2 linked regions of the Drosophila melanogaster genome follow. The protein of the gene in region 2 interacts with the protein of the main gene of each other region in a pairwise test. Each region holds a gene or a part of one and is shown on either strand. Other genes may lie near its edges.

What was found.
Region 1: the proteins of Xrcc2 (region 2) and E(spl)mgamma-HLH interact in a two-hybrid assay, tested with the Drosophila melanogaster proteins (one large-scale study listed by BioGRID).

The regions. Positions count from the first base shown.
Region 1 is NT_033777.3:25,996,461-26,001,937, forward strand, and holds E(spl)mgamma-HLH (enhancer of split mgamma, helix-loop-helix), read left to right. Parts: upstream 1-3,390; 5' UTR 3,391-3,482; coding exon 3,483-4,100; 3' UTR 4,101-4,301; downstream 4,302-5,477. Other genes in the region: CG43116 (uncharacterized protein), read right to left, coding at 1-71, 293-432; E(spl)mdelta-HLH (enhancer of split mdelta, helix-loop-helix), read left to right, coding at 1,272-1,793. UniProt on the Drosophila melanogaster protein: Transcriptional repressor of genes that require a bHLH protein for their transcription. May serve as a transcriptional regulator of the Achaete-scute complex (AS-C) genes. Contributes to the neural-epidermal lineage decision during early neurogenesis.
Region 2 is NC_004354.4:18,496,531-18,501,761, forward strand, and holds Xrcc2 (X-ray repair cross complementing 2), read left to right. Parts: upstream 1-3,596; 5' UTR 3,597-3,651; coding exon 3,652-4,404; 3' UTR 4,405-4,728; downstream 4,729-5,231. Other genes in the region: Pgant7 (polypeptide N-Acetylgalactosaminyltransferase 7), read right to left, coding at 1-972, 1,415-1,891, 2,702-2,906.

The DNA of each region.
Region 1 (5,477 bases), on a different chromosome or scaffold from region 2:
GTGTAACGCAATGTCGCGCCAAAGAGGAAATGAGGTCTGTGTGACTGTGCGCCAAAAGGGAAGAGGCCACACTGCAAGAAAATTCGAACTCTAAACTAGCAACTTATAAAGATGGCTTATAAAGACTTCGGGATTGCATTGCTTTTAAAGCAAAGTAATGCAAATTATAGTTTAGTTACAGAATTTAATATATTATTTATGCACATTTTGCATATTTCTGAATATTATATTTCAGTTTACAAAACAACATTTTTTCCAGTGCACCTGCACGCATACAAGCAGAAACCCACACCCATATGCAACAATGGCATTGCCTCGACAAGATTGGCTCTTTGGCTTAAGTGAGGACGGCACGCATGGGGCTCGGCTCTCTTTTCTCGAGGGAAGTGGGAACCAGGGAGCACGGATGGCTGCCAGGCAGGTCGAGGTCATGTCGCTGCTGATGTCGTGTGTGCGTGTGGTGCGCTGCTGGTGGTGGTGGTTGATTGCTCCGACTCTTTCCTCCTGCTCTTCCTCGGAGACCCTTCTTCAGACTGTTGCGCCGGCGCACGGCAACAGCACGAGGAAGAGAGACGCCCGAAGAGAGCGCGCTACTAGCTCGGGCGAAGATCCGAAGAACGTGTTATTGGACCCTAGTCAATACACTGAAAATAACTTTAAGGCATTCTACTATTATGACCAAGGTTAAAGAAGCTTTGATTAAAAATAAATTAATTTCTAAATATATAAAAGTTTCTAAAGTACAATAAAACTATTTTTTCTTTGTTTATACTTATCGTTGTAAGATACTTTAGATGCATGAGAAACTTTGGTTTCCAGAATGGACATCCAAAGAGTATGCTTCGAAACTTGTATATTTTAAAAGTAGTTTATATAAAGTATAGATTTTAAAAATTGTTCTCTGCCACATATGGATTGTTTTCAGTGCAAGAAGAGAGCCTCAGCGGCTTCCGCCCGATCCAATTTTTTTGATGTTGCACACGTGCAACGCCGAGGGAATCTTGCCACAAGCAGAGAGTGACCCGATTGATGCTTCGTTGTGATCGTCGGCGTGTAGGAGCGTTGTGATCGCAGTGCGTGGTGGCAGTTAGGGGAGGATTTCGATTTCGCAAGTGTACGGCACCAGCAGCTACAAAAAGGATCAGCTTACCTTGCGGCAAGATCATTTCTCAAGTGACTACCGTGCAGTGCGGAGCGGCAGCAGCGACATCGCAACATCGCAACTTTATTTACAAACAATCACCACACCAAATCAAAACCCATTATACACAATGGCCGTTCAGGGTCAGAGATTTATGACCAAGACTCAGCATTACCGCAAGGTGACCAAACCCCTCCTGGAGCGCAAAAGACGCGCCCGGATGAACCTGTATCTGGACGAACTCAAGGATCTCATCGTGGACACCATGGATGCGCAGGGCGAACAGGTCAGCAAGCTGGAGAAAGCTGACATCTTAGAGCTCACCGTCAACTATCTGAAAGCGCAACAGCAGCAGCGAGTGGCCAATCCTCAATCCCCACCACCCGACCAAGTTAACCTGGACAAATTTCGGGCCGGATACACCCAGGCTGCCTACGAGGTCTCGCACATATTCTCTACGGTTCCCGGCTTGGATCTCAAATTCGGCACCCACCTGATGAAGCAATTGGGTCACCAGCTCAAGGACATGAAACAGGAAGAAGAAATCATCGATATGGCCGAAGAACCAGTTAATCTAGCCGACCAAAAACGTTCAAAGTCTCCGCGAGAAGAGGATATTCATCATGGCGAAGAAGTCTGGCGCCCCTGGTGAAGGGCATTCCATATATACGCAACCAATTAACATTGATAGCTTTACTACTCAGTTTCATTAAGAAACAATCCAAGTTTTCCAAGGTCTAGTGTAAACATTTGCCTCAGAATCGTATTTAGTTGGTAGTTGATTTGATATGATGTGATGTTCCTGTGATAGTTCTTAAGTTCGTATTTTGTATTTGATCTCCCATAGGCTTACTGATTCATGTATTTAATTCATTGTAATTTATTTCATCAACTTTGCAAGAGCTTCCCCACCGAGCTTCCACTTAGCCTCATTAAGAACAAATTTTTGTGTATGTTTTAAAATTATATTTTTCGCTTTACACCATTAAGTATAAGCCATGAACATTTGAATAATAAAATGAACGTAAACTGAAATTTTAAAAGCTTTATATTATTTGGAATATGAACATAAACAAGGTTGCTATAATCCATAGGTACATAGGTACAAAATGTTATAATATATATAATTATTATATTATAATTATAATTTATAAGCTCTTATTTAGCTTTCTTCGATATAAAAGATATATCAGATATATTTAAATATATTTCTAAAATCTAATTTGAAATATATAGAAAATATATATTTTCCTTGGAATTTTAATAATTTATAATTCTAAATACCAAATACCGTTATACTGTCCACTTGAATTCAAGTCAATTGAACTCTCCCCACTCCGTTTACAAATCCCTGTAATGCACCACCCATCCAACCATCCATCCATTACAAAGGTCCTGGAACGCGAGCAACTTACAGCCGAAAGTGTGTCCACAGCGAGCCACACGCGAGCAGCGCTCCAGGATCAGCATCGCTGGCCCCTTTTACATGGCGGATGGAGGGAGAGGCAGAGGTCCTGCCGGGTCGGGGGGATCGGGAAGTCGTACACGCATTAAGCGCACTCGACGCACACGAGCAATGTTCCCACAGGATCATAACAGCCGACCAACAAGTGCAGGATGCCTCTGTCCTTGTCCCTTCCTCTGCCACCAAACACGAACCCGATCCAATTTGGAATGCCAACGGTAAACAGGAAGTTGTCGAGGAATCGCAACGCCTCGTCCTTATCCTTATCCCCATCCCCCGGCGGAGGTCCCCGCTATCGTGGGAACCCCGGAGGACCCCGATGAGATGGCATAATGCAAGCAGTTCATTATCCTTATGCCCCTCACCCTGCCATGCCATAGTCAAATCATAACACACAAATCTAGAAACGGCAGCTGTTCGCTCTGCAAATTCCCATGCCCATGGCCGTGGCCATGCTCGGCTGCTTTTTGCGGGCAGGTGAGCGAGTCGATGTGAGAAACCGAGTAGGAAAGTGTTTCCCACGATCCTGGCAGCGATCCTGCTCCCTGGCCCGTTTGATAAGGGTGCCGGGGCCAACAATAAGAAATCGCCCGAACAATAAGGAGCGGTCTCAAGAAGCGGAAGGGTCGGTACCGAGCAACCCTCATGCCAGCACACGAAGCGTGTCCCCGTCCCTTTTGCTCCTCGAATGCCAGCACACACGACGACGACGACGATCCCTTTGGCCCATTTTTTGGGGGTTGTTTCTGGCCAGCTATATAAGGCCGATCACCGAAGGTCTAGCAACACACAACGACTTCGACTGTCGGAGCAGCAAGAGCTCAAAGAACTCAGCTTACATCGAAACTACAAAAAGAACAATAAGAAACACACAAAATGTCGTCGCTACAAATGTCCGAGATGTCCAAGACCTATCAGTACCGCAAGGTGATGAAGCCCATGCTGGAGAGGAAGCGTCGTGCCAGAATCAACAAGTGCCTGGACGAGCTAAAGGATCTTATGGTTGCCACCTTGGAGTCCGAGGGCGAGCACGTCACCCGTTTGGAGAAAGCCGATATCCTGGAACTTACCGTCACCCATTTGCAAAAGATGAAGCAGCAGCGTCAGCACAAGCGGGCTTCCGGCGATGAGAGCTTGACTCCGGCGGAGGGCTTCCGTTCCGGCTACATCCATGCCGTCAATGAGGTCTCCCGTTCACTCTCCCAGCTGCCCGGCATGAATGTCAGCCTAGGCACTCAGCTAATGACCCACCTGGGACAGCGCCTCAATCAGATCCAGCCAGCAGAAAAGGAAGTCTTGCCGGTGACCGCTCCACTCTCCGTGCACATCGCCAATCGGGATGCCTACTCCGTGCCCATTTCGCCAATCTCCAGCTACGCCGGCAGTCCCAACTCCAATACCAGTTCGACCAGCCATTCCCTGTTGACCACCATCGATGTGACCAAGATGGAGGACGACAGCGAGGACGAGGAGAACGTCTGGCGTCCCTGGTAGATAGGATTACTTCACACCACAACTGAAAAAAAAAAAAACGAAGGAGAGATCATAGAAAGTAAAAGTCTTCCGAGTCACTGGATTTCCACCAGTCGACTCCCACCTAGTTATAAGTAAACACCATAAACACACAAAGCTTTAGATGAGGACGCGCAGTTCATGTGATAACTAAATAAATAATAAATTATATAGCTAAAATTGAAAGATCACGACTTTTTCTGCCACTATCTAGTGACTCACATGCAAATTGCTCAGACACTCCCATGTCCAGACAGTTTCCAATTGTCTGCGGTCTAGAACGGAAACGCTAGAAACGCAATAGCACCTCTCTCTGTCCCCTGTAACTATTCGATCGCCCCACGGATGCACATACACGATCGTCGGACAAAAGAAAGCGAAAACAATGCCAAGGCCGAAACAAGAAGAATTAGGCAGAAGAACGAGAGAAGAAAGAAGTCCAAAGTCCAAAGCCGGGGCTACCGATACCGGGACATAGCCTATAGGCCAGTTGGTGGTTGCAACTCCAACACGTGTGCGGACAATAAGCGAAGGTAACAGAAAATATTAGAGTCTTATCTTTGAGCGTATCTAATCGAGTTACGACAATGTCGCTCAGACTTAGAAGAAAACAAATGGGCATAGAGCCGGCAAGGAACCCGAAAAAAAAACCGAAAACCAAAAAAGGGATCGAGTCATCATTCATCCCGCATCCGTCCTGATTTCGCTTTGTTCTCCTCAATTTTTTGTTGCCGTGATTCTCCCTGGCCACTCGGATAGAAAATCGTGTGCACAATGGTCAAGGTAAGCTATGGGCACATAATTGCTTCGGATCAGGTAAATGACTGCCTTGCCCTAGGGCAACTTTAAGATGGAGGAGCTCCAGCCGGGGACAGGATATCGGTTTTTTTGTTGTTTCTTTTTTATGGGCTCTGCCCGAGCCTTTTTTGATTTTCGTTTTTTTTTTCTGATCTGGCTGACCCAGCATCATTTGGTTATCTGTGTGCCAAGACCAGTAGCCGATTCACAGACGCCTCTGTCTTAAAAATCGACGCAGGGCAGATCGAGGGAATAGTCAACGAGATCGGTATCAGGATTGGCTTGGGACTAGTCTGTGCTGGCGGGGTGTAATAAATTTAAAAAGGAACTAAATTTATAGAGATTTTTCAGCTGATTAAAATTCTGTTAACTTGCTAAAGCCGAAAGTAGATTATCTTTAAGAAGATCTTCTTCACAACAGCCCTAAGTGTTTATACTTAATTTTACATTTCCGTCCTTTTTGTTTTCTTGTGTGCCAGCAATTATTTATGGAAATTAATAAGATTTATAGCTTATGGTTACTAGCTTATAAATAACTAAAAAAAAACGTTTATAATTTTT
Region 2 (5,231 bases):
GCATCAGGTGCTTCGTGTGCTCGTTGTACTGCCAAGGACCGTCGACTGTCCCCAGACGACACACGGCCAGTTTGATGCCCTGCCGATCGGCCTCCACGCAGCGCTCGCCGACGCCCAACTGGCCAGCGGCATTGAGCCGAACCAGTTGATTATTTCCGCCTCCATGGCAGTATGTGAGGCCCATGATGGCCGGCGGCTGGTGGCCCATCGAGTCCAGGCATCCGTCGGAGGCCACCGAGCGCAGCTCGCCCCAGTGCAGGTTGGCCGGCAGACCCGGGAACTTGTCGTACACATCGTAGGCGATGTGGTCCATGAACCACTGGAAGCTCTTGCAGTTCAGTCGCTTCTTCAGCGCCAGTTGCTCGCTAATGTCGCCCATGTCCAGGTAGCGGGCAAGCGGCTCGCGCGTATAGAAGTACTCCTTGTGCGTGTCGTCGAACCACGTCTCGATGACGCGCTTGTAGTTGATCGTGATCAATGGACCCTTCTTCTTGCTAGCCAGTTTGCCGAAATTGTAGGGCATAAAGCCGCGATAGACGTGACCCACGCGAGAGCATGGCACCCACTCGATGCTGCCGCCACACTGCCAGATCTTGAAGCTCAATTCGAAGTTCTCGCCGCCCCAGACCAGCAGACCCGGATCGTAGGCGCCCAGCTCCAGGAAGTACTCCCTATTGATGGCGAACAGGCCGCCGGCGTGCGTGGGACTGCGATAGGGTTCCGAGTTGTGAGCACGGCGGCGCTGCTCGCGACGTGGCACCTCGTTCTCCTTGTACAGCATGCCCCATTCGAAGATGCCGCGGAAGTGGTTGTCCGTGCCATAAACCGGCCGGTACTCAAAGTTCTTGTGGTCAATGCCATCGATAATGGGCACTGTCATCACAGTGCGATCCCGGTAGATGGGCGCCAGCAAGGGCGGCAGCCAGTTGGTGTTTACCTCGCAATGGGCGTCCAAGAAGACGATCACCTCACCTGCGGGATGCAAAGCAGTTTAGTGTTTGTGTGGATATTTATAAGGTTGTGGGTTAATATGATGATTTAAAGGATGATGCTTTAAAATAGTAATTTGTAAATTTCTATGCATACTGTTTATGCTAAAAGGCTTGTTTGAAATCGACGATAATCTTGCTTCAATTGCAATGATAGGCAATTCTATTATGCTGAGAAAATGTAAAAGAAATTCAATGAGTCTGCAGTTTAAAGGTTTATCATTGCCACAAAGCGGAACGTGAAGTTATCTTCAATTCAAATTCCAAATAGCTGGCGTTTCAGCGTTTGATGCAAACATCTCAAGATAAAACTATTGTTTTCCATACAACACGTTCTTTTAACTATGCGATAAGCCGTCATGAGTTATGCAAGTTATGCAAGAACACATAACAATATACATAAATGAGATATGGGCTATACGCACCTGTAGCCTCCATGGCTCCCCTGGATCTCGTTCGGATGAGACCTTCGCGCTCCTTGTTCCTGATGACCTTGACCAGCCCCTTGAACTGCAGCACATACTCGTCCAGCTGGCTGCGCAGGTTCTCCTTGTCGGAGAAGTCATCCACCAGGATGATCTCGTGCAGCATGTGCGTGGGCGAACGATCGATGACCGAGTGCACGGTGCGCATCAGCACCGAGAAGCCCTCGTTGTGGAAGACAATGATGACGCTCGTGCGCGGCAGATCGAAGGGGTAGTCCCAGTGGCGGCACTCTTCGAGCCGCGTGTCCCGCACCGATCGGTGCATCGATATCTCATCGGAGCAGGCGATGTTCATGCCGTACTCCATCTCGGAGGCGTCCGACATGTGCTTCTTGTCCGGCGACAGGCTGTGGGCCTCGCCATTCTCGCCAGGCCCGCTACGTGGCTTCACATCTTTCGGCTCAAAGTTGCCAAGGCCTGAAAAACGCAAAAACAAATTGTGAGTGTGGCGCGTGCAAATTACCTATGCAAGCTTACAGCAATTGTTTAAATATTGGCCCAGCCACTCACTGTATGCGCTTGCAGGAGGTGTGGGTTATAATTTCAGACTTATGCATAAAGGCGGGGTATTACAGACCAATAATATGCCATCATCTAACCATCTTATGGTCATATGGAATATTCTACGACTAGAATTAGCATTTGATACAAAAGACTAAAGACACACTAGTTTTGGTGGCTGTGCAGTAAAAATGACTTTTATGAGGTTATTTTCTCACTCTATCCGAATTTGATAGTTGGTTGGTTAGGGCCATTACAAAGCCGGTTTTGGAGAATGTATAATAGAATGCGATAAATATTTGAAATGGGCTCGTAAGTTAGACTGGGAATAGACTGTACGATATGGGTTGGAAAAGGTTATCCTTTAACCTCCAACCATACTTTACTCACGCTAAACGTGGTAATAAAGACTTCTTTGAATACTATGTAGCATACATGGCAAGTAATTAATTGGTTAAAACGAGCAAAAGCCGGTTTTAAGTGATATAAAGCAAAGATTACTGAATTCTTTAGCTGGGTTTGCAGTAAGCAAACAACTCGGTCTTTTCAACAATGATATGGTAACTACTCTGTATCCTTAGTTCTGATGATAGTCCTCCATAATAAAATTGTATAATACGTGAGTGAGGAATCTTAATGGCAAGGCTCACGTTATGGGTGACACAATCCTATTCTTTATCCTGGTCAAGGGCTGATATTGCTATCCTCGATCCTGTAGCCACTTACCATCGACCAGCTTGGGCACCTCCCTGGGCCTGCCCTCCAATCGCTGGTGGGCGAACTTGGGTCCGCCGAAGCGCGTGTGATACGCCTCCTGGACGCGCTTGTGGTGATCGCTCCAGTTGGCCAGCAGATACAGCAGCGGCAGCAGTACCAGCAGGCACAATGCCAGCCGGCAGATCCGACCGCTGCGGATGGTGCTCACGCGCATCTCTCCCTAATTCCGATTCCGATGCCCAGTTCCAGATTCCAGTTACAAAGTTCCAAATCTGTTGACGTGTCTAGGTGGCCAGAAAGAAAAAGCACGGCGCGGGAGACGGGAAGCGGTAAGCGGGGAGCGCGGAAAGGTGGCCACAAAGCAGAAAGAGAACAAAAGAACCACTTTTGGTTCGGATTCGAGATGCCGCTGAATGATCAAAGGCGCCCCGCCGATAATGACAATTACAAGTGCTGGGGCGAGAAGCTAACTGGAGTACACCAGCTCGTCCGCCTGAGTGATGCTTTAACTCGGTGCGGAGCAACTTGCCGGCGAAAAAGCGCCGCTGGCTTTGAGCAAATTGCGAGTGCAGGTGCACGAATATTCGCGGTGCAAACGTAAACAAAAAATGGTAGAAAACGATGTTCAACTGGTAAGAACGCGTTATGCCGTTTTTTCTATCATCGCCCAGGCGTTAGGGCTAAATTAGGCACCAGCAGCGATAGGCGGCTGGGCGATAACACAGGGTGGTGAAAATGGATTTTTTTTATGTATGTGCGCAAATAAGTCTAAATGCTAACTGAAAGTTATAACGAAACGCTTGCTGCTGTTGTTTAACTATTCGATATGCCCTAGTTCCATTTAGTGTTAAATATGTTTCAGCGCTGCGCAATTCAACTTTAGGTGGCTGTCATCGATAAAGGCCACAATCGATAACTCCTTTGTTTATGCCAGGGCGCAAATTTGTAAATTTAACCTAATGGGCTCACATCAACTCCACTTTGCCGTTTTTGGCTCCTGCGGCTTTGAAGCCGATACGCTGGTGGAGATCTCCGGCCCAGGGAACAGTGGCAAAAGCCTGGTGCTCCAACAGTTGGTGGCCCACTGCCTGGTGCCCTACAAATTCGGTGGTCGCCAGTGGAGCGTCCTGCTGATCAATCTGAGTCACAAGATCAACCGTGAATCTCTGGCCAAGAGCATTAGGATGGAGCTGAAGGCGTACTCTGTCGGCGAAGTGATTGCTGCGAAATGCCCCACGGAGGAGCAGCTGGCCGAGATTGCGGGCGAGTGCATGAGTCGCGTGCGATTCCTCAACTGTTTTGCAAACGATGATGTTTCCACGTCGCTAATCGACGCCCGCTACGCGATCATCAATGATCCTGGCATACAATTGGTTGCCATGGACACACTCAGCGAATTCTACTGGCTAGATGAGCCTAAGATTGCCAAGAGAATGTCCATGTATCGCCACTATCGATTGCTCCAGGCGCGCCTGGAGAAGCTCTGCAAGGATGCCATCGTCTGCGGCATGTACACGGTGGAGTCTGCCTTTCTGGAGAATCGTTTTGGCGAAAACTTGCCCGAGGCTGGCATAAAGTACCATGTCAGGATGCAGAAGATTCAAAACCAGATCCTCTTGAATGGACTGCCGCTGTCGTTTAGCAATGGAATTCATTTGGATACAAATACTAGCAAGGAAATTACTGAGGCATTGCTGACTCAGCCCAGTTAACATAGTTAAATTATTATTATTAATCTTAGGACAAAATGATGCTAGGAACTGAAAGAAGTAAACGATTGTATATAGAGTATATAGAGTTGATTAAATTGTATATAGAGTTGATAGGTTAAGAAAATTGTATATAGTTTAACAATTTAACTTTAATAATATCTTCCTTTTAGGGATTAGAAATTATATTTGTTATTACTCCTTTATTAGACAATTTCAAGGCCTATGAGTGAGAAAGTAATCTGTGCAACTAATTAAGTTAAAAAAAAGGTATAACTTCTACATTATCTAGATAGTTACGAACTCAAATATACTTTAATTTCCGTGATATCTTCCTAGTTTTACCCGCTCGAACAAAGAAAATTATAGTCCATATAGATCTAGAAGGAAAGTTCGCTTTTATGACTTATTCCATTCAGTAATATATTTAATATTATATATCAGTAATATTATCTTAATTAAAAAAAATACAACAGTTCTTTAAAATTGTGTTGAAACCTTCACTATGTTCTTTTTTTGTTTTTGAAGAAGGCCAACCCTACCAGAATTATACTTAAAACTAATGATTTCTAAAAGCTATACATAAGTAAGGTGGTTTTGTTTAGCAGTTTTTTTTTTCGTTTTCGTTTTCCTTTTTTATCGTTTTCTTAGCATTTTAAGAAGAAGCAATATGATGGTGTATGGTAATGGCAATTAAAATGGAGAGGAGGGGGGGGGGGGGGGCTTTTTAATGTTATCCGCCGATTGATTTTGGTAGTGCTTAAAAGCCGGTAAATTAGTAAAAATTATTATTAAATACAATCATTAATTTAAATGTAATTTCAATAAAT